4 linked regions of the Drosophila melanogaster genome follow. The protein of the gene in region 1 interacts with the protein of each later gene in a pairwise test. Each region holds a gene or a part of one and is shown in the gene's direction. Other genes may lie near its edges.

What was found.
Region 2: the proteins of CG14401 (region 1) and CG18810 interact in a two-hybrid assay, tested with the Drosophila melanogaster proteins (one large-scale study listed by BioGRID).
Region 3: the proteins of CG14401 (region 1) and PGAP3 interact in a two-hybrid assay, tested with the Drosophila melanogaster proteins (one large-scale study listed by BioGRID).
Region 4: the proteins of CG14401 (region 1) and CG14194 interact in a two-hybrid assay, tested with the Drosophila melanogaster proteins (one large-scale study listed by BioGRID).

Annotation. Positions count from the first base shown.
Region 1 is NT_033779.5:20,866,673-20,874,588, forward strand, and holds CG14401 (uncharacterized protein), read left to right. Parts: upstream 1-3,181; 5' UTR 3,182-3,461; coding exon 3,462-3,675; intron 3,676-3,929; coding exon 3,930-4,088; coding exon of another isoform or gene 4,089-4,100; intron 4,101-4,159; coding exon 4,160-4,383; 3' UTR 4,384-4,800; downstream 4,801-7,916. Other genes in the region: CG9338 (uncharacterized protein), read left to right, coding at 264-472; CG31675 (uncharacterized protein), read left to right, coding at 1,474-1,525, 1,679-1,852, 2,445-2,665; sky (skywalker), read right to left, coding at 7,077-7,218, 7,285-7,505, 7,602-7,760.
Region 2 is NT_033779.5:20,645,743-20,652,842, forward strand, and holds CG18810 (uncharacterized protein), read left to right. Parts: upstream 1-3,169; 5' UTR 3,170-3,294; coding exon 3,295-4,197; 3' UTR 4,198-4,337; downstream 4,338-7,100. Other genes in the region: CG2608 (uncharacterized protein), read left to right, coding at 353-1,120; CG2611 (uncharacterized protein), read left to right, coding at 4,509-4,718, 4,795-4,983; brun (brunelleschi), read right to left, coding at 5,548-5,818, 5,884-6,091, 6,152-6,343, 6,403-6,596, 6,659-7,100.
Region 3 is NT_033778.4:6,671,684-6,679,455, forward strand, and holds PGAP3 (Post-GPI attachment to proteins 3), read left to right. Parts: upstream 1-1,920; 5' UTR 1,921-1,998; coding exon 1,999-2,134; intron 2,135-2,190; coding exon 2,191-2,507; intron 2,508-2,577; coding exon 2,578-3,044; coding exon of another isoform or gene 3,045-3,097; coding exon 3,098-3,170; 3' UTR 3,171-3,378; downstream 3,379-7,772. Other genes in the region: Hsepi (heparan sulfate C5-epimerase), read right to left, coding at 1-1,203, 1,260-1,358; CG17266 (uncharacterized protein), read right to left, coding at 3,390-3,857, 3,924-4,007; Tdc1 (tyrosine decarboxylase 1), read right to left, coding at 5,623-6,151, 6,274-7,378. UniProt on the Drosophila melanogaster protein: Involved in the lipid remodeling steps of GPI-anchor maturation.
Region 4 is NC_004354.4:19,190,849-19,199,657, forward strand, and holds CG14194 (uncharacterized protein), read left to right. Parts: upstream 1-2,706; 5' UTR 2,707-2,983; coding exon 2,984-3,021; intron 3,022-3,099; coding exon 3,100-3,170; intron 3,171-3,575; coding exon 3,576-4,150; intron 4,151-4,210; coding exon 4,211-4,603; 3' UTR 4,604-5,189; downstream 5,190-8,809. Other genes in the region: CG7914 (uncharacterized protein), read right to left, coding at 1,653-2,600; CG7990 (uncharacterized protein), read right to left, coding at 7,135-7,295, 7,383-7,601, 7,669-7,933, 8,425-8,616.

The DNA of each region.
Region 1 (7,916 bases):
CTTTATAGTTTGAAAAAGCTGCATACAAATAGAATTGAGTATCAGAGAAAGTCTAAAAATGAGAATTTTTGAATATTTCTCTATACATTTATCTCCGAACACATTAGAACACACAGCACGCTTTAATGTCGTAATTTCTGAATCTAATTGCCGAATATATGATTTGAATTTATAATATATCAAAAAGAATAACAACCGACAAAGCATTTCCATTTACACTTAACCAAATAATTTGTACCAACTTCTAAAATGTTTACTTGCAGTTCCCGGTAACCCGCAAATCGTGAGGTCCTGCTACTTTGGCAACATCGCCGACACGAAGGTTGGATGCCAGACCGATCCCAGCCTGACGATCAACAAGTTGCTGAGCTGCGAGGTTTGCACCGAGGACGAGTGCAACGGAACCTCCTCCCTGGCCCCCATCGCCGGAGTCATACTCCTGTTCTTTGGCCTGGCCCGTCTGCTAGCCTGAACGAGGAGCAGTTTGTAGTACCGCTGAGCTATCCCAAACATATCGAACTTGCTGTTGGGAAGCCAGACCCATGGAGCTGCTTTAGTCACCTTTGAATCTCTTGTAATTGTTACACCCTTTTAAACTGTTTTCGCCCACATTAAATGTCGCTTTATTTATGTGAAGATATTTTATGGTTATTCGTAGATTAATTGCTAGCTTTAACTGATAGCCTTCCAGTTGGGCAAGCAGAAAATCCATGCGTGTCTGGCACACTTCAAGAACTGGCCCCATCCAATCTACGTCTCTTCTGCAGGGCTCTCTATATGCTGGGCTGACGATTATACGAACAGACGGAAAAGCGGAAAAGTTCTCTCTGTGATTTTACTCGCTTCGACCATACACTCCCAGTTTTCCTTTTCCATTTCCATTTCCCACAGGGTCGCTATAAGTTCGGCGCGTCAAGTCTCCACCCGCTAAATGTTCATTAAATTTAGACAAATTAAAACGCTGAGCGATGACGCCAGGCGAAATGGCCATAAAATGTTTTCACCACAGAAAAAAGAGAGCGATAAACGGAAAAGAGAAAAACGGCAAGGAGTTGAATTTGGAAAATGCTTTTGGCATTCTTTTAGTTCGATTTCGTGTGCGGACGTCGACTGACAGACGGCTCCAAGAATTTAGCCGGGAAATCGGGGAAAATCAAAAAACAAAACTGAGGGAAAATTGGCAACGCGTGTTTACATTTTTATTTCCTACGTGCTGAGACCCAAATAAATATAAAATAAAAGTCATTTATATAGTTGAAAACACACATTTATTTATATTCAAAATATATACTATATTTGCTTATACAAAACATACAGTTTTGTATGTTCAAACCTCGTGCGGATCGTTTCAATTGCGCCGAGCAGAGCTATAAATAAGCCCGCCACTTGAATTATTTTCCATAAAACCATCAAATACAACAAATTCCAATCACCAGCGAGAAAGGTGGCAAACCGATTTTCCTCCCATCAACAATGCAGCATTATTTACTTTTGTTTGGCGCGCTCATCTCGCTACTGGCCTCAGGTTTGTTTTTGTTCTGTTTGGACTTGTTTCTTTCGAATTTGTACTTTGCTTTGCGAGTTCTGCGTTTGCCGCGACCTGTCGGCTGTCCCCGCCTGATCTCATTTCTGCCATAAATAAGACGCGTCTCTGGTCTTCCCATCCCAATGCCACTAGCTTACGCCATCAAGTGCTATGCCTGCGAATCCGTCTACGAGGCTAGTTGCGGCGACGACTTCGAAGTCGAGAACCATTTTAAATACGACTGCGCCTTCATTGCTCCTCCGCGATTCCTGGAGAACGATCTGCTCAGCGTGAATGCCACGGCCTGTTTGAAACGGGTATTCAAGGGTGAGTTTAAACGAATATGTTTCTCAAAACACGTTCCTACGGATTTGAAGCCTTGCTAGGATAGTAACTTTAATAGTTATGAATCAATAGGTATAGTAAAAAGAAAAGAAAGTTTGAAATATAAGATTAAAAAGTGGATATATCGTAATTCACCAAAAATGTATCTATCCACCAGATATTTTTTTAAAGTAATTGTTCATTAATTACAAATACAGTCCGATTAGCAGCGGACAAAAAAAGTGTGTTCCGAAAGGTAAATGTCTGTATACTCATTAAACATTCGCAATGTTGTCCGTCCGAGATTTGTATTTACTCTTCAGATAATAATTTCTTTAATGATTTGTGACGCAAATCAAAACAAATAAAATTAATTATGTGAAACAGTCATACATACATTCATAGACATACGTGCATATACGGACAGCTGTGACCTTATTTCAGAAGAATCTCGTAGACTTTCCAACAATCTCTTGATATTTTGGACAATACGTACACATTTCGTATAAGCCCATTAAAGACGGACAATAAAAAATGTGTTTATTTACGATAAGTCAGCCCGAAAGTAGACTAACCCAATGTTTTGCCTCTGCAGAAAACGGCGTGCGTAAGATCGTCAGAGGCTGCTACTTCGGCGAGGTAAATGCCACCGATGTGTGGTGCAAAATGGACCCCACCCTGTCGGCGGTGCAGAACTCAAGTTGTCATGTGTGCGACAGCGAGAACTACTGCAACGGATCGGAAAATCATCCAGTGGATAAATGGAAAATCTTCGGCAGTCTGGTCTTGTTTCTCTTGGCAACTCAACTACTCTGAGGCGACAGGAGACGAAGTGGAAATGTGGAAATGTGGAGCGTGAAATGAACATTAAAAGGCACAGTAGCTTAAGTAAACCTAGTTCAATTTAGATGTATTCCCAAGGCCCAGGACTATCAATTAGTAAAGCCCACATTAGTAGAGCACACCATCCACAAAACCGTTTAGCCAAATCTGCCCGGCCCACTGTATTAATGGCTAATCAACGCCGAACATGGCGTATGAGCAACATCAGCACACCGAAATGAGCCGAAAAGCTGGCAAACAAATTTCGAACGATCCAAATACAAACTAATAAAAACTAATTTTACACAGAATGCCAAATTGTTTATTTGTTCAAATGCCACTAATGAACCTTGCCTGAAATAAATGGATTGGCGAGGAAAGGGCAAAGGGAATGGCAGGGCAGGGTAGGGCAAGGCAGAGCACGATGTCAACACGCATTGGCCAGGGAAAAGCCAACGATGGAGAAGTGAAAATGTGAAAAAATCTGTTATGAAAATCAAATTCACATTCTGAATGCGATTGTTCGCACGTTCAGTTCAGTTTCTGTTTAGTTCAGTCGCGTGTGTGCATCGCTTCGAGTCGGTGGTCGGTGGTCGGTGGTCGGTGGTCGTTGGTCGGCGGCTTGTGGCTATATAGCGCATCTATCATGTGATTAAAATCGGTCCGGCAACCGAGAAGACAACATCTGTATTCGCGCACGTATCGGCATCGCCAAGCTATAGCTATAGCCATACTGACTCACCGCGACCGCCGGACGACAGTGGAATCAACTGTTTTCGGGGGCGGTACGATGGCGATGATGGCAGCGCTTGCCTCGCTCTTTCTGCTCGTCACGCTGGCCAGCTCAGGTGAGATTCTCGATTCGCGCCCGCCACTCATCACATTCCTGCCCCGAAATTGTAGTTCATATTTTGAAATATCTCAGAAGCAGAAGACTGTCAACACGATTTATTGCGAATCAGTGAATTTAGGGTTTTACCGACTGTTTTGCGGGAAACTGTTCAGTAAAGAAAAACATATAAACAGCTTTCTTTGTTTATTTCATTGTTTACGTATAGAGTCTAAAAAGTTCAAGAATTATATTACAAATTTTAATTAACTTACATCTGAAAAGAAATTAACGTTTTGGAACATTAAGAATGGTTTTAAAGCTAATTGTTTACTTTAAGATAAAGATAAGGTCTACCAAAATGCTCATCCATTGTTTTCCTTTCTGTGCACTCTCGTGGACACACATTTTTACGGATGTCGTCATCAGCCCGTGCCATTACCTGCTACGAATGTGATTCCGTCAATAATCCAGGGTGTGGGGAGCGATTTGTGGGCGATGACATATCCACGACGGATTGCGATGTGGTGGCGAACATGCGATCCCTGGGAGCGGAGGCCACTTGCCTTACCAAGTACCATGAGGGAAGTGAGTATACGAGTATGGTTTCTGGAAAATATGTCAAGGAAATCCCTTATAAAATGACTCACTTTTCGCAGTGCCAGGAGACACGCGCTTCGTGAGGCGCTCCTGTTACTTTGGCGATGCCTCCCCAATAGGCGTCAGTTGCGACGATGGACCAGATCCTGTGGTGCCCTTTATGAACTTCCTCGGCTGCACACTGTGCGATACGGATTTGTGCAACGCAGCCGCTGGATTATCCACACTACCCTTGGTCATTGCCCTTTCGATACTCGGACTGCTTGTCCTACTGGCGACCTAAGGAAGATGAGTCGCGTGGAACGGCGGCGGTCGTATTTCAATGTTTCCTATTAAAAGTAATATACTCCAGTATTGTATAAAAGATTGTTGTTTTCTTGGTCGACTAACTAACATGACTTCTTATACTCATGCAAAGGGCGCAGAACAAGAACGACCCAAAGTTTATCCTTATATTCTTAATTTTCTAAGGCAAATGGCTTAAGTTATAAAAAGCCTACTGAATATGTAATAAATTTAACTTAAAGCCCCTAGAAGAATGAAATAGAAGCAAATATTTTTTAATTTTTATTTTATTTGATTTTCTTTCCATTGTTTTTATACATCCACTAAAATGATTTAACATACATATATATTTATATAATTATACTTGTTTGATTTAATATAATTTATTGAATAAAATTTACTCGTTTCCTACTCTACTAGCGTGTGTATGTAAGTATGTGTATGTGTGTATTGCAATTAGGATCATTAATTACAAAATATTCATAAAATAAATTAAAATAACACTTTCAAATCGATACACACAATTTCTGTTTCAATATCTAGTCCATTGATTTCTTGATCGTCAAACAATTCTAGTTTTACATTTATTTCCAGTTTATAGCATAAATTATTTTATGTAGGCAAACAGATAACATCTTTGCTTATTATCTTAATGGGTTTAGCTGCGGATTATATTCATAACACTTCTGGGCTACACATAAATAACATTCAAATATAAATATATGGATATTTATCAAGATATTGTATATAAACTACACATTGAGAACAATTCAGATAGAAAACAATTTATGTACAAAAGATTGTGTTTGTTTTTGCTTCACCAATACTGTCCATGCTGGCGTTGTCCGGCGGAATCTCTACGATCCCAGCGAGGACCACTGCCGCGTCAATGCCACAAACAATCGTCGTCCATCTTTCCGCGTCTTAAAGTCTATCAACAATTCATATCATCAGCGTGTAAGCATTAGTCAACCAAATATAGTAAAACTTATTGTTTCAACACGATTCACAGTCAGAAACAAATAACAAACAGATTTGCATTGCATGGATCAACTTGTTCAACTTGTTTTGTAGTTGGGTATATAATGTAGTTCGTTTATATAATGCTGCGTGCGTACACATATACATTGAATCATAGTAACAACAACACACAGAGTTTGTTTAAAACCTATTCATATTTAGTTTGCTTTTCACTGCTGCACCTTTCACTGATTGCAGGTTACCTGGGTTATATTGGATGGTTATAATATAATTTTTAGGGTATGGGATTTGGGTTCGGGAATTGTGGAGTACCAGCTCCTCAATGAAATAGTTGTGGAGTGTTACCCATTACATTCTGCAATCTGTGATCACTCCTGTCCCTTCCCCTCAATTCGTTGTAGTTCTTTTATTTAAATGTAACAATTCGTTTGAGTAGTGCAACGATCAATAAGCCATCGGAATTTGCAGACACTCAAAGGCAGATGAGTGTTCGTCCAGAGGGAAATGGGAGGAGACACACCATGTTATTTTTGTAAAACATAAAAATTGACTAGAAAAGTGTGCAAAAATTTTGTGTACGTGCAGTTTTTAGGTGGAGGTGAGCAAAGAATTTCGTTGGTATTGAAAATGGAATGGAATCTTAAAATAATTATTGATTGTTCTCCGTTTTTGTTTATGTCTACCTATGAAGCCTTCAACTTGTAATACATTTCTTTGTTTTCCTTTTTCGTTTTTCGTTTTGAGATCAATTGCACATGGTGGCACATGGCAGCTCTCCACTGCCCAATCGTTCCTTCAACTTATTTTGGACTTTGAACCGACTACAAATTCCGCTGCTTAAGGACGTTGGCCTTATATTCATTACTTGGGGGCTAAATAGTTATAGTTTATATGTGTAGTATCTGAGCATATCATTGGCGTCAGCAGCAGTACTAATCGAAAGAGGTTTGGTTTTACTTTATCTCTATATTTTGCGACCAAATGGGACAACTTTCAGAAACATTCAGTTGTTTTCAATGCAATTTACAAGTTACACTTTCTATACACGTAGCAATAATAATATTAATAACATTAATAACGAATTCAGTCAAGTCAGTAAATTTGGTTTACAGAAAGAAAAATACAGTTTCATAAATTAAATGAAATAACGCTAACAAACAAAAATGATGTTGCAGCCCAAATTTTCCGGTGTGGTATTCTGCTTGAAATTTTTAAGGAATTTTTTCTTTGCTCCGGGTACATGGCTATAGAAATACGTTTTACATATAAATATACACATTATAATAATTCATTTTATATATACTTGTTTGTATAGATATCATGTATATACGTATGTAAAGGGGTTATAACAACTAGGGTATTGTAATTTCAAAGCTTTGCGTTTTGAAACATGAACTCACAGAGTATTTCCATTATATAATATATAATTTGTTTTAGCTTTGCATTTTTTCATTAACATTTAACATTAACACGACGACGGCAGCATTTACTGCTGCTTGGCCACTTTCGATACATTTTTATAAATAAGCTTTCATAAATGTTTACACATTTTCTCATCCTGGTACCATCAGCATACGCCAATAATGGGCGGAAAGGAAAGCAATCTGTAGGTGTTTGAGTTGGTTAAGGAAACGCGGGGGAACGTCGAGCAGTTTTGCTGAGCACTTGATCATCGGCGGGCAATATCGGTCAGACTAAGAAAGAAGGTTTTTAGATGCCCACGAATCCGTAGACTTCCAGCACCCGAATCTCGAAGTCGCCCGACGGACACAGCGGCGGATTGTTAAAGGTCTTGCAGCTGTCCGTCTTTCCGAAACGAATGTTCTCGTCCATCCAGATGGCCTGCCCCTCGCTGTAAAATAGAGTGGAGAATGAAATATAAGGGCAGTGGTAGCCACGCGAGCAGCTTGAATCTTACCCGCCACCAATAGTGATCATCTTGGAGTCGGCCGCCATAAATAGTTCGGAGCTGTGTCCCAGGTCCTTGTCGCCCTCAATGCCCACCCATGGGTACTTGGCTCTTTCTGGATATAGGGAGAACAAAAAGGTTTCGCCCGTACCGAAGTAGGCCTGTCGCTGGCCCTTGTCATCTTTTACATTTCTTTCAAACCAGCGCGAAGAGCAGTAGGCACCAAATACCTAATAAAAAGAATCAAAATTTGATTTAGAAACTATTCAAATACCACATTTTCACCACGTTTTCACATCAAACAACCTTAGAACATTGTAATTTACCTCATTATTGCACGTCTTGATCATGAGCAGCGTGGGTTCATGCTGCTCCACCCGAACGTAGAACGTGGTTAGTGAGCAGCCGTGCTCCTCCGTGGTGTAGAGCAGCACCGGTTGGTACATTGTTATCCGCACGGGCAGCCAGGACCACAGCGTGAACAGCTATGGGAGAACGAATGGCATGTTTGTTAGCAACTCATCCGAACACGATTGAAAGCTAGAACTTGTCTACAACTACGAGTAACGTATTGAAAAGGGTAGCAATTAGCCAATGACAGAACAAAATACGTTGGCGTGGGTAAAGTAGAGTGAAAGAAC
Region 2 (7,100 bases), 220 kb from region 1:
GTCCGTCGAGTGTAAACAGCTGTTTTGCGATTCGAAAATACCGAAGTATGGCAATAGCGACCAAGTTGGCCATCCTCACTTTCAGTATTTTTTGCAGAGTTTATTTGGTGCACAAGCACCGGTAGTCAATATAATTATAATTACATTAAACCACCTAAAACAAGCTGATCAACCGCAATCAAACATCTCAACGGGATAATAATAAACGCCAGAGAGTGGTAAGTTCCTAACAATACGGCCACGAAGAGCGAACAGCTCGATTAACTGAAATTCCCTCGCATATCTTTCGATGGCATTGCAGGCGCACATCCGCCAATTGCTCAACATTAAGCGAGGAAAACACGGCGGAAAAATGGATCTGCTCGACTCAATACTCAACGCCATGGATGCGCCGCCTGCCAACAACGAGCAACAGAAGACGCTGATCAAGAAACAGCGCGAAATGTTAGAGCGGATGCAGAACAAACAGAAAGAGGAGCTCCTCCGATTCCGAAAATATGTAGACGAACGGATGGGGCGATTCGCCAAGGACGACAGGCGATGCATCGAGTTTCAGCCGCTGGATAAAGTGCATCGCTCGGTGATCCACGAAGTAGCCGAAAATGGCGGCTTCATTGCCATGAGCTTTGGCCGCGAGGATGTGGACCGACATTCGGTTGTGTACAAAAAGGAACACGCTCCTGGCGAGGATGAGGTCACGGCCCGTCGGAACGGAGACGGTTGGAACGAGGAGATAGCCAAGGAGTACGCGGAGCGACGGCGGGAACGATTGGCGCAGGAGCAAAGTGACAAAGAAGCCTCCACATCCGAAGCAGCAAGTTCAGGCTCGTCCACATCCACATCAGCGGATCAGGACTCCGGCGAAGTTAAGCCCACGACCAACTACAAGGCCAAGTATGCCCACCTCATCGGAGAGTCGGCCGCACTGCAGGCGGCCCGTAAGACGGAGACCAACCAAAGCTACGGATTCGTGCCTAGCAAGAATAAGAAGGATGTGCGCTCCATCGAACAAACTTTGGCCGACATCCAGGCCAAAAAGCGTCTGCGATTGGCTCAGCAGCAGGAGCTGGAGCAAGAGCAGCAAGCGCAAGAGGCAACCACATCCACAGAGGACCCATGAGTCGCCTGTGACCCAATTAGTATACAGATAGCTCACTTAATGCAAGACTGTCGCAACCAAAAAAAAGGATTATACTTCTTAAATCAGAATCAGAGAATCAGACATGACATGCTCGTCTTGTTCGCAAACTCCTGCTCGATAACATCGACAATATTTGACAAAACAGAGCAGTAATCATCTTCAGGGAGCCAAAGATTTTTAAATTTATAGTATTCATACTATGTTTTTGCCCACATTAATCGTATTTGGTAATAGGCTTGATACTAATTTTTATCTTAGGTTAGCCCCATTAAATTAAATGCCCTTTTTTTTTGAGTAATGACAGCCTTGTATCGAGTGAGATTAGTTTTGTTGATTCAGATTAGTCACATGAAAGGTCTCTGACTGCCATGTAAATCATAAGTAATAAGCAATTTCATTTGTTGGCCAATTAAGATCCGAAAGTTGTACATGTTTTAAGCAAGTTATGTGTCCGTAGCAGAGTCCGAATCGCAATATCTATTTATATAATAAAAACCTAAAAAAAAAAACGTCGCAAGGTTCAAAAAAATCTTAAAAACGGGGCGCCACTCAAAAATCACCAAAAAATACAGAATATTTCCATTCCAGTATTTTCTTGTTCGTCACTTCTTTCTTGTCACGGTGGTGAAGAAGCAGTCACAGTTTAATGCCAGCCGAAAGCCGCACCACGTGTTGCCCATTCCAAGAAAAATAAACTAAATTAGCACGATGGCTAATAGAAAACGCAACAAAATTTTGCTTAATACAATAGAGAAAGATATGTCAAATAGCTGAAAGTTATATGGTAACTAAAAGATGTGCGGATCACGAGAAACGAGCAATTCACTTTGACAGCCTGGCAGCTGTGACCCAAAGAGTCTCACTTTGAGACTTCTTGGGACCAACCAGCATGGGAAGTTTACGCGGTAAGAATAATACAGAAAGAAGATCTCCACAACCATGATGAAATCGTTAGATGGGGACAACTGATTACTGTGACTGATTCATCTCGATAGTAGATCTGATTTTAAAAATGTTGCTAGCCTACGTGCTTTCATGTTCAACAGCACTAAAATAACTCGTTCTTTTTATATAATGCAGAAAACTGATGTTTCTGACTGAAAACCGACGAAAGAATGGTTTCCACACTTGTAAGTATAATGATTGCTAAAGATTTATGATTTTTTTTTTTTTGTGATGAAATCGTTAGATAGGGACGTCTGATATCTGTGACTGATTTATCTCGATAGTAGATCTGATTTTAAAAATACTGTTAGCTTGCGTGATTTTATGTTCAACAACACTACAATAACTCTTTCTTTTTAGATAATGCAGAAAAACTGATGTTTCTGACTGAAAACCGACGAAAGAATGATTTCCACACTTGTAAGTATAATGATTGCTAAAGATTTATGATTTTTTTTTGTGATGAAATCGTTAGATAGGGACGTCTGATATCTGTGACTGATTTATCTCGATAGTAGATCTGATTTTTAAAATATTGTTAGCTTGCGTGATTTTATGTTCAACAACACTACAATAACTCTTTCTTTTTAGATAATGCTGAAACCCGAATTTCTCTGACAGAAACCCTACGTAAGAAGGATTTCCACACTTGTAAGTTTAAAGTGTTATGTGTACGTATATATAAATATGGGAGTATTTGAGGCCAAGTCTTAAGCTATTGTCTAGGAAACAAAATACCAAATACAAAAACGAAACTAAGGGTATTCTTTAAAACAACATGAATTTTGTTTGTATTTATTAAATCTATGAAAATGATCCGTAAACAAAAGTAAAGAAAAATAATTTTGCACATATTTTTTTTAGGAAATCTTTAGAACTGTCTGTAAAAATATATATTTAGAGTAACCCCTGAATAATGATTAAATACTTATGCATAATTTTTATTTATTTTACAGGGCTCCCTTGCATGATGCCAGAAAAGTGGACGTAAAAAATCTAATAAAATTATATTTATAGAAACAGAATGCAGCTTGCCATAGTTTTATTTTTTAAATATTTTTGAGAGACGGTTGGGAAAAGGGAGAAAAAATATTGATACATCGTGTAGGCTGGAATAACTAATTCAAAGTCACACCAATACTTTTTCCAAACCAGTTTTGCAATCTGCAGTAAAGTTTTTACAAATTGATCAAATCACTTTCGTTATAATGAGGTTTCGGTCGCTGAAGAACATATGGCCAAAAGAGAAGTTGGAGCAATTCCTATTTTTGTTCATTTTATGTGGCTTGCCCGCCATATACTATGTTCTAATGGAGATAATTCTGCCGGAGTTGTCGGATTATTGGTCACCTGGTTACGTATTTCAGCTGCTGCTGGGACTGTTCCTCTTTTCGAATGTGATGTCCAACTATGTCATGTGCATCCTGGTGGACCCCAGCATCGATCCCAAGCTTATGAAGAATCAGTTGGTGCGCGGACAGCACAGTGAGGACTGGCACGAGTGCGACAAGTGCGGGATTCTTGCTCCACCCCGGTCACGTCACTGCAGGAAGTGTGGCGTCTGTGTCCTGATGCGAGATCATCACTGCTTCTTTACTGGTTGCTGCATCGGTCATGAGAACTATAGATACTTTTTCTATTTTCTTATCTACTTTTTTCTAAGCTGCATGATTTCACTAACGTCATCTTCGATATTTATTTACGTTCTGCATGGGGGCAGATACCAGCTCTTTATGCTGACACATCCCGCACCGAACTCTGCCTATTTTAACTCGCTTATTATCAGGATAATCTACTTTAAGTTGCCCGATATATACGAGCTGGTGTTCACTCTGGTATTCGTCCTGCTGTGGATCGGGGTATGCGTAGCTACCTATGTGGCTTATGATCAGTGGTCTCGTGGCTATTTTTGCTATGATTTTGAACTTCAAAACATTCCTTTTGACCGAAAACTGCGCCGAAACTTCAAGACGTTCTTGGGCAGGCGAATGAAGTGGACCTGGATCTCCGGATTTGTTCCCAGCCAGCTGGACCACGACGGATTTGATCTGGATCCCGACAACGAACGTGTGGCAGATTGGTGCTCAGAAACAACCATCAAGGATGGCTAAATAATTTTATGCATTCTCTGTGTTTTCCAAATTACCGGTGCGATGAAAAATTAAAAATTCGAATTCATTTGATTAGTTCAGGCATGCAAGAAAGCTTTCCAAATTAAAAAGTTAAATATTTAAGGATGTGTTATTATGCGATATGTGTATGTTTCGTTTTATTTGGTCTCTACTGTGCTTGCTGATTTTCCCCAGGTTGGCAGTCTCGTCAGCTGTTTTCCTGATAACATTGACTTGCCGCAAAATGCTTGTTTGTTTAGTCTGAAATTGGCATCTGGTCAAGATCAACTGCCAGTAGGTAGAGACCACATATGGAGCCCACCAATTCGGAGTCGCGGCACCGCCTAAATGGAGGGGGCAGGAGTTCCGCGCCAGCAGGCTCCGGAGAGTACATCAAGGTGGTGGAGTCCCAATGCGAGACCGATGGATTCGTTAATGAACAGTGGACGGAACCGGCGATGCCAGGTCCAGTGCCTTGGAAGACCATTATTATCATTCTTTTGCTGTTTATCGGTGGCATTGTGAGTAGTGATTACTGGTGCCCACACATACATGCACAGTTCCTTCGAACTTCTGATCTGATGTCTTTGTCTTCAGGTTTGCATCGCCTTTGCCACCTTAAACTGGGTGACGGACACGAGCCGGGAGCGATCGGATCGGGTGTGGGCGTTGGGTATCATCGGGGCACTGACCTTCATCCCGGGAAGCTACTATGTGTACGTGCTCTTCTGCATAATGCTCAACCGCAACGGATTCACCATGGACGAGATACGAAGACTCGGCTGAAAAGGAGAAACCAAAGACACCAAATGTTTCGTCAAATAGAGTTTATTGCTTTTACACTACAGTTATTCACACATTTCATTGGCATAATTTCTTTAGCAACAATCTTAATATGTAGTTCATTATGATACATGTGTATTGCCCCGGTAATTGTATAAAAATATTTTTTAAACACGAGCTTCGTTATCAAAATGTATAATGCTTGGCGTGGCTTCTAGTGCGCGGAACATTGGCTATCTATTTAAATAGCGCATCGCTTGCTTAAATATGTATATGTTTTACAGGCATGAACTATAGGTTATATGATTTATGTTATGGCCATTTTCTCTATCAAGCTTGGGGCACAGTATAACTTTGTGTTTCAGCTTAATTATATACAGTGTTATGCGTTACATGTTGTATCTATGTAGGTAAGAATTCTTTACAAACAATTGCTTTTCGTGTTTACGGATATAACAGGGCGCGTGGGAATCAAATACTTTAACAAGAGTAGGGGATTAGTATGGGGTGTATACACAATACATACACAAACATTGTAACGAAATTAAACTAGCGACAGGTAACATTTCACTGCTCCACGACGGTCACCTCGATGGGCGGAATGAACTTCCACACATGCGCCTGCTGCTCATCGTAGCTGGAGGAGAACATGACCGATTGGCCGACACTCTCCGCTTCTGCCGGACAGGAGCGGGTTAGCAATGACGACGGCTGCTCCGACTGCTTCTGCGGATTGCTGGTGCATTCGATGCTGGCCTTGAAACGTCCGGGGGTAAAGAATATCACAGAGCAAGTATGCTCTTTCTGCTCCTGCTTCTCCAGTAGTGGTATTGCAATTCTAAGAGGGTTGATATTGTCTAAATATTTAACTGCTTCGTTTCAATATTTTTCTTCAGCTCTCACCTATTTGGTCCTGAAATGGCCACGCGTGTCTCCAAATTGTAATTTTCCATTCCGTTCAGGTAATCCTGATAGAACTTAATGCTCAGCACCAGATTTCTAAGTGGTTGCAGGGATTGATTGGCCAGCTGGATGCTTAGCAGCGACCGCTGTCCCACCGTGCATACAATCTCATTGTGTGGCTGCACGAGCGTGTCTTGAAAGCTGATAGCTAAAGGTGTAATACAATTGTCATTACAAAGTCGGTAAGGAAGATTCTAAACAAACACACCCCACTCCAAAGGCGACACAGCTGTCAAATCCACCATAGACTGGGAGAGAACTATTCCTCGCAGTGAGGCGATTCCCTGAATGTCCGTCCCCGTTAACAGCCACTTGATTTTCACCCTTTCAGCTATATGAATTGAGCAGAGCTTACTCAGAGCATCGTTAAACGACAGCAGCTGCGTCCGGAAGCAGAGTTCTAGTAAAAAGATAAGCACAAATAGTGAATGAGCTCATATTAAGCGGGATTCATCATACCCCTCTCCAGATTCTCAGCTACCTCGGCCGCCCGAGCAGCCACCACTTTCTCCAAGGAGCACCGATCCACGGGTATGGGCACTCGGCAGCTCTCTTTGGCCTCGATGAGTATATTCTTGGTGTCCGTATAGTTGAGCGACATCTCTTGAGCGGTTAGGTTGGAGATGTCAAGTACCAGGTAAAATTGGGAGGCTCTGTAAATTTGATATACAATGTTAGAAGGAGTTACTTTGAAAAACGAGAAGATTGCACTTACACCTCTGCGGGAAGCACATCCCAGCTTGTAATCTGTACGCTAGGCAAAAGTTCTAGATTAAAGGACACCGCACATTGGCGACAGTAGCCCGCCGTCAAAGCATCTCCGCCCGAGTACTTAAATCTAACTTGCGCCTCTATGTGCTGGTTATATTGTGACCCAAGGCTGGAAGGTCCTACTCCTCCACCGCCGCCAGGGTGCAGGGTTAAGGCAGCCAGCGATGGTGGACCGCCAGAAATGGTCGACCGGAAACTGGAATTCTGTGGCTCATTTCGACGATGATGCGGTGAACCGACTCTCGAGGGTAAGCTGGCGTGCCCAGAGGTGGACACGCTCGAGTAGTGCGTTAGTGACGACGCACCGTAGTCCCCAGGAGCAGCGGCAGAATGCAATGAAGCAGGTGGTTGAGGACAAACGAAGTCCGCTTCGGCAAAAACATCCA
Region 3 (7,772 bases), on another chromosome or scaffold:
ACGCAATTCGGCAAAGCCGTTGAGGCTGCGACGCACAGGATTGGTCCAGCCACCCGTCTTGGGGTCCTGGTTGTGGACGAACCACTCAGCCGCGTCGTAGAAGTGAGCCAGATGGTCACTGGTGGACAAGGTGATATTGTCGAAGAAGCCAAGGCCCAGAAAGCCAATAGATATTACCTCCAGATCGGAGCGCCGTATCTTTAGCGGCGAGCGTTTGTCACCCATGATGCCCTTTTGAAGGTCAATGTGCAGGTCTCGAGTGATGTGGCGCCACTTGTTCAGTGCCGAGCCTCCCAGACCGTAGTAGATGTTTGTATCCTGCACGCTCAGCAGCAGATCTGCGGGTATGTAGTGCAGGCTGTAGTTGTGACGGGTGTCCCGATTCTGAACGGTAATCATGAGACTACTGCTATTGGTTACCAGGAGCAGATCAACGCTGAGCAGAAGATCCAATGTCTGGTTTAGAGCAATGCTGATGACGCCTTCGTAACCAGGTGCCGTCTCGAACTGGACAACACTGGTGTTAAACTTGTGGTGCCAGATGCGGGTCATGTTGCTGGTCTTGGGCGTACTCCATTCCATCTGGTTCCCGTCGCCGTCCTCCAACACGCGAACCCTGGGTGCCGGCTCTGTGAGGTTCTTGCTGTAGTGCGACAACGCGAACTGGGCAATTTGTGTGGGGTAAAAGTACCCACGCTTCTCCCATTGCGTGCTCACTGGAACGCCCTCCGCGGCACTGATGCACTTTACCCGGTCGCGCACTTCCACGTTGTAGTTCTCAAAGTACATATAGACGCCGCGCGCATCGTACTTTCCCCTGGGAAGGTTAACTTTGGCTGTGCTGTGCACCCAGTTGAACTTGGCCACCTCATTGCTGTTGGTGGAAACTGCTCCACTGACGTCGAAGTAGTTACGCAGGAAGGAAAACGGAACGTAAACCTCGTTGGCGTTCTCGTCTCGCTTGCAGTGCACGGTGTACTCCTGGTTAATGGAGCACTCAATGTCGTGCAGCGCTGTAGCTTCTCCTCCGCTGGAGGACTGCCTTGCGGACCGGTCCAGAGGACGCACAAAGTCCGGCGAAAAGGAGAAGGCGGCGCAGCGCATATACACGCCCAGAGTGATTACCACCACAGCCACTGTGAGGACAAGCAGCACGGCTTTTAGGTTCAGTCGCATGATGAAAAAGACCAGTGGCTCGCGTTGCTAAAGAAAATTCTAAGATTAGCCAACTGATAACACGACGAAATAGACATTGTTACCTTTACCCCTTGGAATTTAGGTGGCTCCCGGTTTTCCCTGCTTACTGGAAGCGCGGGTGCGGAAAGGGCATCTCTCTGACTGCTTAGATATTTGGACATTCGGTTGGGGGCGAACTCTCTAACTGGCTTCTAGGTGAGTCATGCTCTAAATTTAAAACTGCATTCATCTGGCAGATGCATTGCTGACGATGATAATGGTGCACCAGTACGCGTACGTCTCTTTCACTGTCTCTGTCTAAAATTCCACCTGCCGAGCCTGTAGCCCTCTGAGTTCAGTCCAGGGCCATCCAAAGTTGATATTTCAAGTGCATCCAGTTCTCACTAAGCATATTTTGCTTAGATTTGCGCTGCTCTTCTCGCTTTAATGGGCGAACACTGCGAAAACACAGAAACTGCGATACAGATGAGCAAATGTTTTGACATATGACAAATGGTCGCTCTTGGGCGGCCTATGCACGTAAGCTATCGATAACAAGCATTAACCGTGTGCATCGTTACTTCTGTAGCTAAGTAATTTAAATAGTTTAATTTTCGAGTTTAAATAGTTTATATTCCTCCTTTGGTTGAAAATGAACTTTTATTTATAAATTCATTGGTATTTTCAAATGTTCCCATACGCATGCTGACAACTATCGACGAACCGATAGCATCAACACGACGGCGATTAATCAATAGTGCAATGTTTACAAAATATTTCGGGTGGATGTCGGTGAGAAGGCGCGTTTAACTAGTTTTAGTAATGTCTAGTCGTAGTTTAAGTGCAATAGTCTTGCTCCTTGGGGCGTTAGTGACCGCCTGCCTCGCCTCCAACGGCGACCGCACACAGTTTTTTCACAATTGCCGACAGAACTGCGAGCGAACGAACTGCTCGGCAGGTGAGAAGTGCTATCCACTTTAATTGCAAGTCTTAAGAGCAAGCTTCCATTGGCAGATGGACTGGAGATCCAGGAGCAGGCAGTCAAGTTTTACCAGCAGTCGGTGTTTGACCGGCTCTTCCAGTGGAGCTGCGCGGACGAGTGTCAGTATGGATGCATGTGGCGAACGGTGTTCGCCTTCTTTGAACGCGGTTGGCCGATTCCCCAGTTCTACGGCAAGTGGCCCTTTCTCCGCCTGCTGGGCATGCAGGAGCCGGCCTCAGTTATCTTCTCCTGCCTGAATTTTGTCGTTCACCTGCGCTTGTTACGCAAGTTCCGCCGAGAAGTGCGTCCGGACAGTCCCTGCTATATGCTGACCCACATATTCGCAGTGGTATGCCTTTATTTACACGATCAGCCAATAAAGTCGTTATACTAAGTTCCCTCGATCCTTACTCTTCCAGACGAGTCTCAACGGCTGGATCTGGTCCGCCATCTTTCACACAAGGGACTTTCCACTGACCGAGCTGCTGGACTACGCCTTTGCCTATTCCATCATCTTGTGCTCACTTTACGTCATGGTCATGCGGATGCTGCACCGCTACTCGCTGTTCCTACGGGGTGTTATCACGTTGGCATTCCTCTCCTACTACATTAACTACTTTGCCTACCTGAGCGTGGGACGGTTCAACTATGCGTTCAACATGATGGTAAACGTGGCTACGGGAGTTATAGCGGCAGTGGGATGGTTCGTTTGGTGTCACTTTGTGCGCACCCGCAGGCCCTACTTTAGAAGGATCCTGCGTTTCTATATTCTCATGGCGTTGGCTATGAGCCTTGAACTGCTTGACTTTCCGCCCATCCTCTGGATTCTGGATGCTCATGCTCTGTGGCACTTGGCAACAATTCCTCTGGCATCCCTATACTATGAGTGCGTAGAAATATTACTTTATTCTAATATTGCTACATGTGTTTGCATTTTAGCTTCATGATAGAGGACTGTCGAACCCTGCGAAAGGAGAAGGCTGCGGCGGGCGGCTATTCATTCTACAATTAGTATTATCTAAGTTATTCTTAGCCCTTAAAGCACGCAAAGCTATCTGGCAATTTTTCTGACATATTTCATGTAATTTGTAACAGAGCGAAAACATGTAATGTATTTTATTGAATGTCAAAGCGAAAACATCCTTTGACAGTAACCAGAACGGCAGGAAAACTAATAGCTTCGTTTAAAAAGACATAATAGAGACTTTATTACAACATTTAGAACTCCGTGCTACATTTGCCCGCACTGCGAAATGGTCACTGGGAGCTTCGGCTTGTTATTGGGGCCCGTGGGCACGTTCTCGATCTTGCGCATGATGAGCAGTCCATCCAGAACCCGACCGAACACCACGTGCTTTCCGTCTAAAAAGTTGCACTTGGCGCAGGTGATAAAGAATTGGCAGCCGTTCGTCTCCTTGCCACTGTTTGCCATGGAAAGGAGGCCGGGCGAGTCGTGCTTCAGGGTAAAGTTCTCGTCGCCGAAGGTGTTGCCGTATATGCTGGTCACGCCGGTGCCGTCGCCCTGCACAAAGTCGCCGCCCTGGATCATGAAGTCCTTGATCACCCGATGGAAACTGGCGCCTTTGTAGCCAATGGGAACGCCATCCGGTCGGTACTCGCCCGTGCAGAACTGCCGGAAGTTTTCCGCCGTGCGGGGCACTGTGTCCGCAAAGAGTTCGAATATCATTCGTCCGATTTCCTGCACACAAAAGGCGTTAGAAGGCGGAGTTATGTACAGATTATGACTAGATTGTTTTCAGCTCACCGTTGTGCCTACGGCAATGTCGAAGAAAACGACGGGATTGTTGGAGCTTCTCAGTTGGGACTGTATTTGATTCCAGTTAGGCATTTTAAAATTATTTTATTTGTTTATAAACTTTCTAACAAGTCAAGATTAAGATTTTACTAAGCCGGCAGATTTTTGTTTATGTTTATTACGATGGTTCGATGACGATGCACGACAAGTCGATAGCATCACAAGCCGGTTATATCGATAGCACACGTGTGCCAAGTGCTTGTTTATATTTTGCTGTGCACATATTGGTGAAACTATTTAATAATATTTATTAAGGTGAGTTTATTTATGATTGGATTGATTGATGAGTAGAGTGCATAAAATAGTGCATAAATATTATTATTGTTGGATATTGTTTCGGCATTATTTTTAGTTGTTTATTTTTATTGGCAAGTTTCTCAAGGCCTGCAAAATATGTATGCATACTAACATATTTCGTGGTCCGATGGGCAGGATTTTTTCCTGATAGGATATGCGTGTGTAAATTCTTCAACATACATACGTTCCCACGCTAAAAGCTTTTATCACAAAGAATGACAGAATGACCCAAAACACTTGTATCTGTATGTACATGCATTTGTACCAAAGTGGGAAATGGAGATATGCAAGAGACAAAGCAAGTGCAGTAGCAAGCAACAATTGTATGCCTTAGCATGCGTAAGGAGACCGATATATGTATATTTATATTTAGTTTACTTATAATTAGTTTATACTTTTAAGATGTAGTGGTAACGTTTTAAAGCAAACTTATTGAGACATATATCATATACAAAAATTAAAAAAAATACTATTTGCGTCCCCCAAAGATCTCCCAGTTGGATTTTGGATAGACTCTTTGCCAAGGATTCCCGTAATTAGCCATTTTAGGAGTTCTGTTGGAAACGAATGGCCCCAATTAGCCCTCTCTGTTGATGAATGAAGACCTTTTATCGACATAGTACAAAAACGTATGATAATTAATAAATATTCGTGAGCATTGTACTCAAGAAAAATGTAAATTTTCCGAAAAATATGCACGACAATGACCCCCATTTGACGTTAAGATCTGCTTAGTGAAAAATAGATTTCATGTTTTGGTAGTGACAACACATTCCCGGGGATCTTAATCCCATTGAGGTCTCCTTGATGAAAACCATATCCTTGGCATTGTGTTCGTTTGTGGGTGGAATATCATTTTCTAAACAGATGCACAGCTTTATTGGATATTGGATATAGTTTTCTGTACGTTCTGGTTTGTTTAAATGTATCCTCTTGGACGACTCTGTAAATTTTATAATAATATACATTTATAATGTACATATCAAGTTGCTTTAAACATTAAGATTGTCCTTCAAACTCCCATTACAAGACACGAGATACATTTTCCGTTGGATTGTGTTTGTATTTTTTAAAAACTTGCATAAAAAATGCCGAGATAATGTTTATAAATAAGTGCTTTTGTTCATGACAGTAACTTAAGGTAGCTAAACGGTATAAGCAGATGCAAATGAGTCTATCTTTAAATTACATGATATTCAGCAACAACTAAGGTCCTACTAGTACATAAATGGATGTTCTTAAATTCAAACTGAGCAATGTTAGTCGGTAGTCGATTGATTCATGCCTCATTTCAGCTCGACAACTAATACTAGGTAGAGGTAAATCCGCAAATCCCTTTTCGGGTCGACGCTCAGTTACTCGCCTCGTCCGTATCCACGTCTGATATATCTTTGAGTTTTACGTTGCCATTGCTGTTGTTCCTGTCATTGTCATCCGCCGCCTTTTGGAAGTTCTCCTGAAGAGTTTTGGGATCGACGACCAGGATGGGTGTGCACCCGTCCATTAGGTGCTCGCTCTGGCTCTGGTACTGCTCCCGCGAGATGCTGCGAGTGAAGGAGAATCGCAGCGACTTTGTCCTGGTCAGCCTCTTTTTGATGGGTGGCTTGCCCGCCACTGGAGCCAATGGCTCTGAGCTGGTCCGCTCTGAGCCTTCCGGCGTGGTTGGCACGGAGCTGGACTCCAGCTGGTGGTCCCGCAGTATTTCCTCAGCAAAGCACTTTATCTGGGTCCAAGCTTCCAGGATGTCCTTCTCAGTGGCGTGCTCGTAGGTGACGCAGAAGCGGATCACGTAGCGGCCGTTGAACTTGGCCGGCGTCATATGCATCTTGCCCGAGTGGTTGATCTGGGCGAGCAGCATGTGGTTGGGCTCGTCGCCAGTTCTGTAGAGAAGATTGAGTAGATCATTAAAGACCAGCATTCAGATTTAGCTGCTTTCTTCAGTTAGGTAAATACTAGCTAACGGTTAATGGTTTATAAATGGTTTAATGGTTAATAGACTTACCGCATTCGGAAGCAAACTAGGCCAAGGTGAACATCGTTGCGAACCTCAAATCGTTCATCCTTGCGCACCAGCATCTCAAACTTCTTAGCCAACGCCATATGATTTCGAATGTATTCCTGTAGGCCCCGAATGCCGTATGTCCGGAAGACGAACCACAGCTTGAGTGCCCGGAATCGGCGACTCAGGGGAATGCCGTAGTGGCGGTAGTCAACTCCGGTCAAGTGCTCGTGTCGTAGGTAGAGGGGATTCACGTTGAGCGCGCTCTTAAGGTTCATCACATCCCGCACCCACAGGGCAGAGGCATCGAAGTTCGTCAGCAGAAGCTTGTTGGGATTTGTGTTGAAGGAGTCGGCGTATTCGAGTCCTGCCGAAAAGACCCGCATCTCGGGCAGAATGAAGGAGTTTCCCGCATAGGCGCCGTCTACGTGCAGCCAAATGCTCGACACCTGGCGGCACACCTTTCCGATCTCCGTGATGTCGTCGAAAGCGCAGCCGCCGGTGGTACCCACAGTGGCCACTACAAAGAAGGGTGTCAAGCCGGCGTTCACATCGTTTTGAATTGCTTGGCGGAGTAGGTCAACGCGCATGCGTCCATGCTCGTCGGCATCGATTATCCGGAGCTTCACCAGGGCCATCTTGGTGGCCTTTTCCACGGAGGAGTGTGCCTCACGGCTGGCGTATGCGATCAGGCTGGGCAGGAAGACGCTGTCGTGAACGCTGGTCTGACCCTTTAGCTCGCTGATGGCCCGGGCGCGGGCTGTGATTAGAGAGACGAGAACGCACTCTGAGGCGGATCCCTGAAGGGCGCCGCCGCCTGTACTGCCTGGGGCATCCGAAACAAAGGCCTTGGGCAGGCCAAGGGCCTTGGCGTACCAGTTCATCACGATCGTCTCCAGCTCGGCAGCCGCCGGACAGCTGGCCCAGCTGAAGCCAATTGAACCAATGGCACTGCTGAGCATGTCGCCTAGGACCGATGGAAAAGAGTTGCCCGAGGGGAAGTAGGCGAAGAACTTGGGGTGGTTCCAGTGCACCACGCCCGGCATGATCTTCTGCTCGAAGTCCTCGAGCACGTCCTTGAACGGCTCCGGCGACTGGGGAGCGTCGGCTGGAGATAGAGATAAACAGGCAGTCGGGGATTAGTGGGATGGGCCTTAAATATTTCGTTTATCACCCATAAATTTGGGGGGGCCAGCAAAGGCAGTATTTATGGCGGGTCTGTTGTTTTTGGCAGTGAGTAGAAAGATCAACAAGTAAGTCTATACGCAAGGTGTGTGTTTGCGTATGCATAATTAATTGATTTGTTTAGTTGAACTCGGGATTGCGGCGTCCATTCCGGCGTAAATATTTAACTTAGCCAACTGCGCGGAATTCGCCTGAAATTCGCCAGCGAAACCTACTCTCCAACCTGCCAACCTCTGAGGTGGACGGAGATCGAAGATCGGAGAGATGGCTGTCGAGTGTGCCCCAATTATGCCGGACCCACCCACGCATCTCGTTGC
Region 4 (8,809 bases), on another chromosome or scaffold:
ACTGGAGCAGATCTCCAAATTGACTTTATCCATTATCATTATCCATCCATGAAGAAAATGTTAAAAGATCTTGAATCAACTCACAGTATTTAAGTTAAATTACTTTATTTTTTTTTTCGTTTTTGTCTTGTAACAATAAGTTTGCTTCAAAATAAAATTATCCTTTTTATTGTTTGTAAGTAATTCAAATTATTTTGTAAAGAATGTTTCGAAATAACGAATTGTTAAGGCACAAACACATTTGTTTCTCAAAATCAAGGTACAGGGTATGTTCAAATTGGTGTTCAGATTATTCCAATCTGAACACCAATTGGGTTGATTCCTAAAATATCATCCACTTGGTATGACTTGAATTAGATTGGATCACTAATAGTCAAATGGAATCATAACCATGTTGTGGACACAGGAGGTCAAATAAAAAGATGACCATAGAGAATGTTTAATGGCAATTGGATTCATAATGTTTCCTTTCGATTCATCCAGTGAATAACCAGACGCTCAATTGTATTAATTACAGCGAAAACCAGTCGGCTTTTTTAAAGACAATTAAATCCCGATCGATACATTTGGTATGAGAATTGCAACTGCAATGCTCAGATTTTAACAAAGTAAATGATTTGCCGACAGCGAAATGGATTGAAGAGCCACCTGGATGGCCAAAACCATATGTTCATTTAGCAGCGATAAGTATAGATGCCCTATAACCAATTAAAAGTAGCAAGTGTGGGCAAAACAGTAGAAGTAGTTGGAGTTACCTGTATTACTGATGATGAAGAAGTGAACTCCTCCTCCTTTATGGAAGTACACATTCCATTTTCGGTACACTCAAATGCTTAATTGGAAGTATAGAAAACATGTAAAAGTTTCAAATGCCAACTAGAGAGAATGCTATAGTCAAGTTCCCCGACTATCAGATACCCTTTACTCAGCTAGTGTGAATGCGAACGCGAAATTTCTGAATTTTTCTGGTATATCGATAGATATTGGGGAATAAAAATTGTTCAAAAGTGTGGGCGTGGCAGTTATGGCCGCTTTAGGGCGTTAGACTGGGTGTGGCAAAAAAAAAATTGTAAATCGATAGAAATTTACACGACTAATAAAATTATTAAAAAATATCCAAAAAAAATTTCAAAAATGTGGGCGCGGCAGGTTTGGGCGGTTTTAGGGCGTTAGAGTGGGCGTGCCAAAGTTTTTTTTAAATCGATAGAAACTTACACGACTTATAAAATAATTTAAAAATATTTCAAAAATGTGGGCGTGGCAGTTTTGGGCGTTCGAGTGGACGTAGCAAAACGTTGTTTGCAAGTCGATAGAAATTAATGAAGACTAATCAAAATGTGAAAAAATATCAACACATTTATTAAAAGTGTGGTCGTGGCAGTTTTGTGCGGTTTGTGGGCGTTAGAGTGGGCGTGATAGCCTTCTAGCATTTATAGTACCTAAGATCTCGACGTTCATACGGACAGACGGACATGGCCAGAACAACTCGGCTATTGATCCAGATCTAGAATATATGTATATCTTCTGTCTGTTACATACTTTTCAACGAATCTAGGGTATAAAAAATATAAAACCCTCGGTATAACCAGTACGATCACAAATTCATTAACAATATTCAAATATTTATAAGCAACTACAGTTTTTCCCGGCATTTACAACATATAAATGTTTGCCGGATCTACGTCCAATGATTGTGTTGCTATTTGGGCGATGTTCTTTTGAAAACTTGAATCTCCAGCCACGATGAGGACACGCTGTCCGGGAATCGCGGGATTGAGGTGGGTGGCCAGTTCGGTGGCATCTAATCGGGACACCTTTGCCGTCTCCTTGTAGCGTAGATTGTCCCGGAGCTGAGGGCACTGCTGGGCACAGTGGCCCGCCTCCTGGCAAGCGGAGGAGTCACACTGCTGATGCGGCAGGTAGAGGCAGCTCCTGTAGTTCCAGAACTGGGCGAACTCGAGCATCTCCTCGCGGAAGTAGACATGCAGCAGGTCGTGAGCGCACACCAAATGCCACAGGCGACTCATATCCTCCTCGTTGTCCAGCACCTGCCGAACCAGCGGCAGAGTGGGTGCAATAGCAACTCCCTGGGCGATAATATAGATGCACTTGGCCGGCTGCGGTTCGTGTACGTATTGCCCGATGGGACCACGGAATTCCAGCAGATCGTCGGGCTGTACGGCTTGCAGGTGCCGAGACATTGGCCCCTCCGGCTGCAGCTTCACCAGGATACGGAACTCTTTGGCCACAAAGTCGCTCCAATAGGGCGAATACGGACGCAGCAGGGAGCCGACGCGCAGCATCACATGGTGGCCGGGCGGGATGTCAAGCACCGTGTCCACCGCTCCATCGCCGTCCCCCTCCTCTGCTGCATGAGCAAAGTGCAGGAGCAGCAACTGTCCATTGGGTCCCAGCGCTTCCCGCCGCAACAGGCGGAACTTCGTGTAGCTCAGGATCACGTTGCGTTTGCCAGCCAGCAGGACGCGTTTGCTTGGCCGTGGCTTGTTGTCGAGGATGCAGTTGGTGCAGCCATTGCCGCAGCAGTCTGAATCCCGCAGCTGGTCCTCGTTTTCCTTCAAATCTTCCAAATAAGATAACATTTTCCTGTGCCTATCGAGGCTATCGATAGCAGGCTAGCGTAGCCGGAAATCTGGCGAATTGTAGCCAGACATCTGGCTAGTCCTTAGTCAAGCCAATCGCCAGAGCAGGCAAGAGTTATCGATATCGAATCTCGGGACAGAAATGCCAGTCAAAAAAGTGTGTAAATAAAACAAAGAACAGAATATCTACAGGGAAAGGGGTGAAAGATCGGCGCCAGGCGTAGAGTACTAACTGCCCCCGCCCCCCCACTCCATCATAACACACAGCCTTGTTCGGGCGAAGATCGCTTCGTGGAGCGGACGCGGTGCGGCGGGTGCCCACGAGCAACTAGTGTCCAGGTACCAAGTGTCCAGTGACATAGCTCTATGGTGTCCTCAGCAACATGAATCTGGAATCTCTGTTCCGCGACTTCAATCCCTGGTGAGAAGCCTCCGACTGCGGACGACCGGATCACATGGGTTCCCAATCTAAAACATAATCGACCATGTTCCCTTTCAGCAAGTTCATCGTCCACTGCAGCCTGTTCATCTTTGTCACGCTCTTCGCCTTGCGCCTCGACAACTACATTGGTGGGTACTTTTCTGTGGCAGTTCTGGAATACACAACGTCACCCAGAATTAAAATAGCACGGGGATGCAAGAAAATACAATCATATAACAATACAAGCATATACGACCCATACACAAATATGTGTACGGTGCACCATCGCTTCTTCTAGAGAATAGTCCAGATTTATTGTATACAAGGGTTAGCAAGCAGATCATGAGATTGGATATAGCAATATCGAAGAAATCGTCTGACCATAGAGGATCATCCAAATTTGGTCACTTAACGAGGATATTAGTTCTCTCGCTATTTTAAATAACTTATCTAAGCTAAATATTTAGATTTTTAATTACTGAACAAGATTTATTGTAGGGCATTAACCTTATAATTGGCCTAGTAGCCTAGTCTAATCGAATGCCTTATCCCAGATTGGCCCTACTGGGCGATTTTCACACCGCTATGGATATGGAAATGCACCGCCATCCTGGGCGCAATCGTAGGAGCCATTGTGTGGTGTCGGTATCCGCATTATCGTCTCGAGGGCGATGCCTACACGCAGTTCAAAGCGATGCTCATCTCACTGGCCCTGCACCTGATCCTGCTGATGTTTGAGCTGCTGGCCTGCGATAAGCTGACCTCGGACCGTCACTTGTGGGTGCTGGTCTTCATTCCGCTGATCTTCGGCTCGGTGGTTAGTGTGGGCGCCTGTGTCTGGGCCGTCAAGCACGATCGCTCCTTCGAGCTGGAGCTCTTCCTGGCGGTCAACGCGCTTCAGTTTGTTTCACTGCCGCTAAAGCTGGATCGCTTTGTCTACTGGAACTGGGACGTAGTGTTTGTGCCCATGTGGATCGTCATATGCCTGAGCCTGGTCAGCGTATTGTATAACATCATCTTCTGTGGCATCATGATGCGTACGCCGGAGGTCTCGCTGCAGCAGAAGAAGGCGGCATTAAACGCAGCGGTGGGCAACATCTGCACGGTGCTCCCACTGCTCTGCTTTCAGGTGAGACCTCATCTAGTCCCTCCAAAAGATTGTGCATCGCTAACCCATCTATTCCGCCAGGTGGTCATCTGCGACAAGCTGGACGGCGAGCTTAAGTTCCCGTACATCGTGGTCTTCTCACCGCTGCTCGTCTCTATTCTGGCGCTAATAGTTCTTAGCTCCTCGGCAAAGGGCGGCAACATGTGGTGGTTCGGCATCCGCAAGTCTTTCAGCCAGTTCCTGTTGTCCGCGATGCCGTTCCTGCAGGAGTACGGCAACATCAGCTATCACCCGGAAACCCACAGCAATGCTGCACAGTCCATGCCGCTGGACGCAGCGTCCTCCTCGACGAGCATGGCGGCCAGCGAGCAGCTGCACGAGTTCCACAAGCACGACAAGAAGAGCAAGAAGGGGGCCAAGAATGACATTCTCAAGCCGGTGGTTCCGTTCGTCAGCATCGATCTGCCGGACTAGATATAGACGGCCAGTACAGCACAGGAGCAGTACAGGAGCAACAGTAAAACAGCAACATTTACAATAAATCGCAAGAACCGCGTAGACTTAAGGACAGCCTCTTTGCACGCGCACAAGGAGACGCCGCACACCTTTGTTCAGGTGTTTATGTTAGGCATTGTTAAGCATACCCATACCCACTTACACACTCACGTCTCCGTCGTAGCTTTTAGACTTGTACTGAATTTTAATTGTAAGACAAACGCTAACACCGCCCACGAACCATGTCCAACCAACCAACCAACCAACCAAGCACATCGCACCCACCATGCTCCCTTCCACGCATCCGCCTGCATATGATAGCACATATAGCACATACATGCATACAGGACCTGACCACCACACGCTTTTGTCCAGACCCGAATCGGACTCCAACTTGACCACAAATTGAACAGCGCCGCATTCGGAATTTTGACTCGTGTGCTAGTATTATATGTAAAACATCTCTCACACCTTGAGAAGCCCACTTATGTGTAATGACCTACTATAAAGTGTAAATAATTAACAGAGTACGTGAAAACGAGAAATATACTTAAGTGCTTCCATCAAAATGAAAAGACGATGATGAAATGGTTCGAAATTCGTGTGAGTTGTATTTATCTTTATTCAATTAGGAAGCTACAAAGTTTACATATGTATTTCATAGTTAAGTTTTGCATTTCATTTTTAATTAATTCTCTTACGTTGTGTCGCCTAAAAAGTTATGCAAAGGTAAAAAGTTGCATTTTAAAAAGTGACCATCCATTTGCCGGACAAAATAATTGAAGATTAGCCGGTGAGCGGTATATATAAAGCGCATATATATATATATATATGAATATATGAATATAGTCTGCAACCGGATCGGATGCGACTGGAAGTACATATTCTTGGGGGTGTGGGAAAGAGAGAGTGAGGCACATAATCGGAAATGGGGAATCGAAATGGAGCGGGACAGAGTTATACATTAGTATAGATATAGTTAAAGTGGGCTAAACGCAGGCCGTGTAAGCATTAACAATAATTCAAATACAATATATATCTGATCGATCGCGAGGTGCAACTGGCAACTTAACTATTGCATAACATATCGCATGAGTGGGCGTGAGCTTGCTTGCATTTGTTAATCTGTATAACATTTTTTTTTTATAGAGTGTCCGTTTGTATTTGGTTTTTTGTGTGAGAATTAACAATTGTTTCATTGGCTTAGCTACATAAATACGTTGCTCGTTTTCGGGAACATACGGGGTTATTACCTAAGACGTCGATCTCCTGCAAATATAATGCACAATCGCAATCATAATTAAGGTTAGCAATAGCACGTACTACTTATCGAATAAAACCTTCCGCCTGAACCTGCTGTGTACATATGGCACAAAGTTGGCCAAGTAGCGATATCAATTTGAACTCTTCTCGATTTACACTAAGTACTCTTGTGTAGAAGAAAAAAAAACAAAAAAAAAACACCTACGCAACTCCTTTGCTGCAAAATATATTGATCCTAATCTGGTTTGCAATTCGGTTACCTATGATGGGCCTCTAGTTTTCACCGGATTGCTCCGTCTTTCGATTTTTATTTCACTATTAAAGTTGGCTAAGAACAATTGTTTACTTGGCTACATTTGCTTATACCACTGACCTTCTGACCCCGTGAGCACCAGAAGCCGCACCTCCACGTCCATTCGGATTATTCAATCCGATCCACGATCAGTGAGGGATTCTGAAACTATGGGCATGAGTTAGCTAGCTATCAACTATCCGGGAAATATCATTTGCCATCACTGCTCGGATGGAATCTGTGGAGGTCCTGGTTCGTTGCCCGCAGCAAAGTCGCACACTTAATGTCTATTGTCTGATTACCGTCTATTAGAATCGTGTCCTTGTTCCTTTTATGTTTGTTTGTTTTTCTTTTGTGGTTGGGGGCCAATAGGGCCTGTCCCAAGGAGGCTATTTCCCGCTGCTCGTTATCATCTTGTATAAACGATATGTACTAAGTGGTAAGTAATGCGACTTCTATTTATTTTACTTTACTTTACTGCCTAACAAATGAAACTGCTCGCACCTGGCTTGGCTCCTTGCATTCCATTCGAAATTGACATGAGATCTGGCGAGCTGCGATCCATTTGGTTTGGTTTTGGTTTTGGGTGCACTTAATCCCTAGGTAACTTATTTCACGTATTTAGAATGTGTACATAGAACGGTATGCCCTCTAATCTGGCAAAATTCTTTACATACTTGTTGTTAAATTCAATAGCTATATTAATCATGGAACTATGGAACATTTATCTCTGGATTTTGGTTTGGTTTCGCTTTCGGTTTAGATTGATACATAAGTGTAAGTGTAAAGAGAATCGAAGAATTAGAAGAAGGCTAAATTTGCTATGGTTGATCGGTATGGAAGCGCTTAGTTTTAAAGTTGAAGAAGTTCGTTAATTGTACGTTTCGCACGGGAATTACACGCACACGGTTCACTGGAGGAGTGGCGTGCTGGGGGCATCTAGTCCTGGTCGAATCTAGTCCAGTTTCGGCCGGTTGCTCAAATACTGGGCAAGATTCTCGCGGGGTCCCTGCACGATCATCATGAACTGCGATGGGAAGTCCCAGATGATGGTGAAGTGGAAAAGCATGTTGGCAATGGCGATCAAGTACTCGAAGAACGCGAACCAACTGAATGCTGTCAAGAGATGTGGGAATAGAGATGTGGGAGATTCATTATCTGTTTCGGGGTGGAAAATGTGAAACTAAGAGATTTGAAACGCACCCAAGTCGTGACAGTAGAAGCGATGTTTGGCAAAGAACACCAGCAGGCCGACGGTGCTCAGGATGGAGACGGCGAACAGGATCTTCTTCCACTTGATGGAGAGGAGCTGCTTTTCGCTCAGTGCCTGTCCGGCATTGAGGATGCCGTTCAGCTTGATGGTGGCCAGCATGTAACACAGCGAGCAGACCATGAACGTGATGAATATGCGCTCGTGAACGGCTGGAAGAGAGAGAGCAGACGGATCAGAGGGATCAGATGTACGATTGGGGGGCTGGGCAGGACCTACGGTAGTTCTCGCGATTCGATATATAGGTGACGCCGCCCAGGGACGCGATCTCGATGCAATTGAGCACCAGGATCAGCGTGATGAGCAGGCTCGTCTGAGGCACCTGGGCGGGACTGATCCGACGCAGCTGCGAGCGGTAGTAGTTCTTGTAGACAAAGGCGATGGGGATTCGCGGTCCGATGTGGAGCGCGATGCTGAAGCGCCAGAAGTAGCGCTGCGGACTGACGCCGGTAATTGCACTTATCGAGGGTATAATGTTGTAGACCTGGTAACGAATGCCATACATAATTAATAACATTAATCTGGAGACTGAAGATATGGTGGGAGATGCTCTTGAATATGGACGGACGGGTTACCCTTGAAGTGAATGCTCTCTATACTTGCAAGGAAAATGAATTATGGCCACTAATAATCAAAATATATATTAATAACATAAAAAAATCAGATATGTATAAATCTATTTGAGTTATATATATACCCAAATAGGAATATATTTCACTGGTGAAATTTATTGTAATTAAAATTAAATAAATGACCGCTGGTGAAAATAAAAACCGCCATGCGTGGAGCAATTGTGAGCGAATCGTTTGGAAAAGCGGATTTGCGTGTCTCCAATCTCGGCGGGATTCCCGCAGGGATGACAGTGATTTATTGGCCACGGGCGACGCGCCGGAGCCCTGCCCAAAACATTCATCATTCATCAGCATCATCCTGGCCACTGAATACCCTTGGATCGCCCGGTGCCCATTTACTCACGCGGCAATGTGTCTCGTGGACATCGTCGTACTGGAAGACGTAGGCGGTCACGAAGCACGTGAAGAGCGTCACCAGCGGCAGCAGGGCGGTCACCACGCACAGTTCATGGAAGCTAGCCAAGTAGTGGATGGCAACCTGCTGCTCCTGCGGCTCCCTCGCATCCGCCTGCTTGGAGCTAATCGTTGTGTTGATCTGCAAGGAGTTGCAAGGAATGGAGGCCATTAGGATCGAGCGGAGTTCAAGCAAAACCACTGCGCACTATACTTGGGATGTGCGAAATGCCACATAATAACATGTGATGGAGAGTATTTGCAACATATAGCTTTTCGTTATCAATTAAATGAATTAATTAATATTAAATTGATAGTTAAAATCCACTCATTGA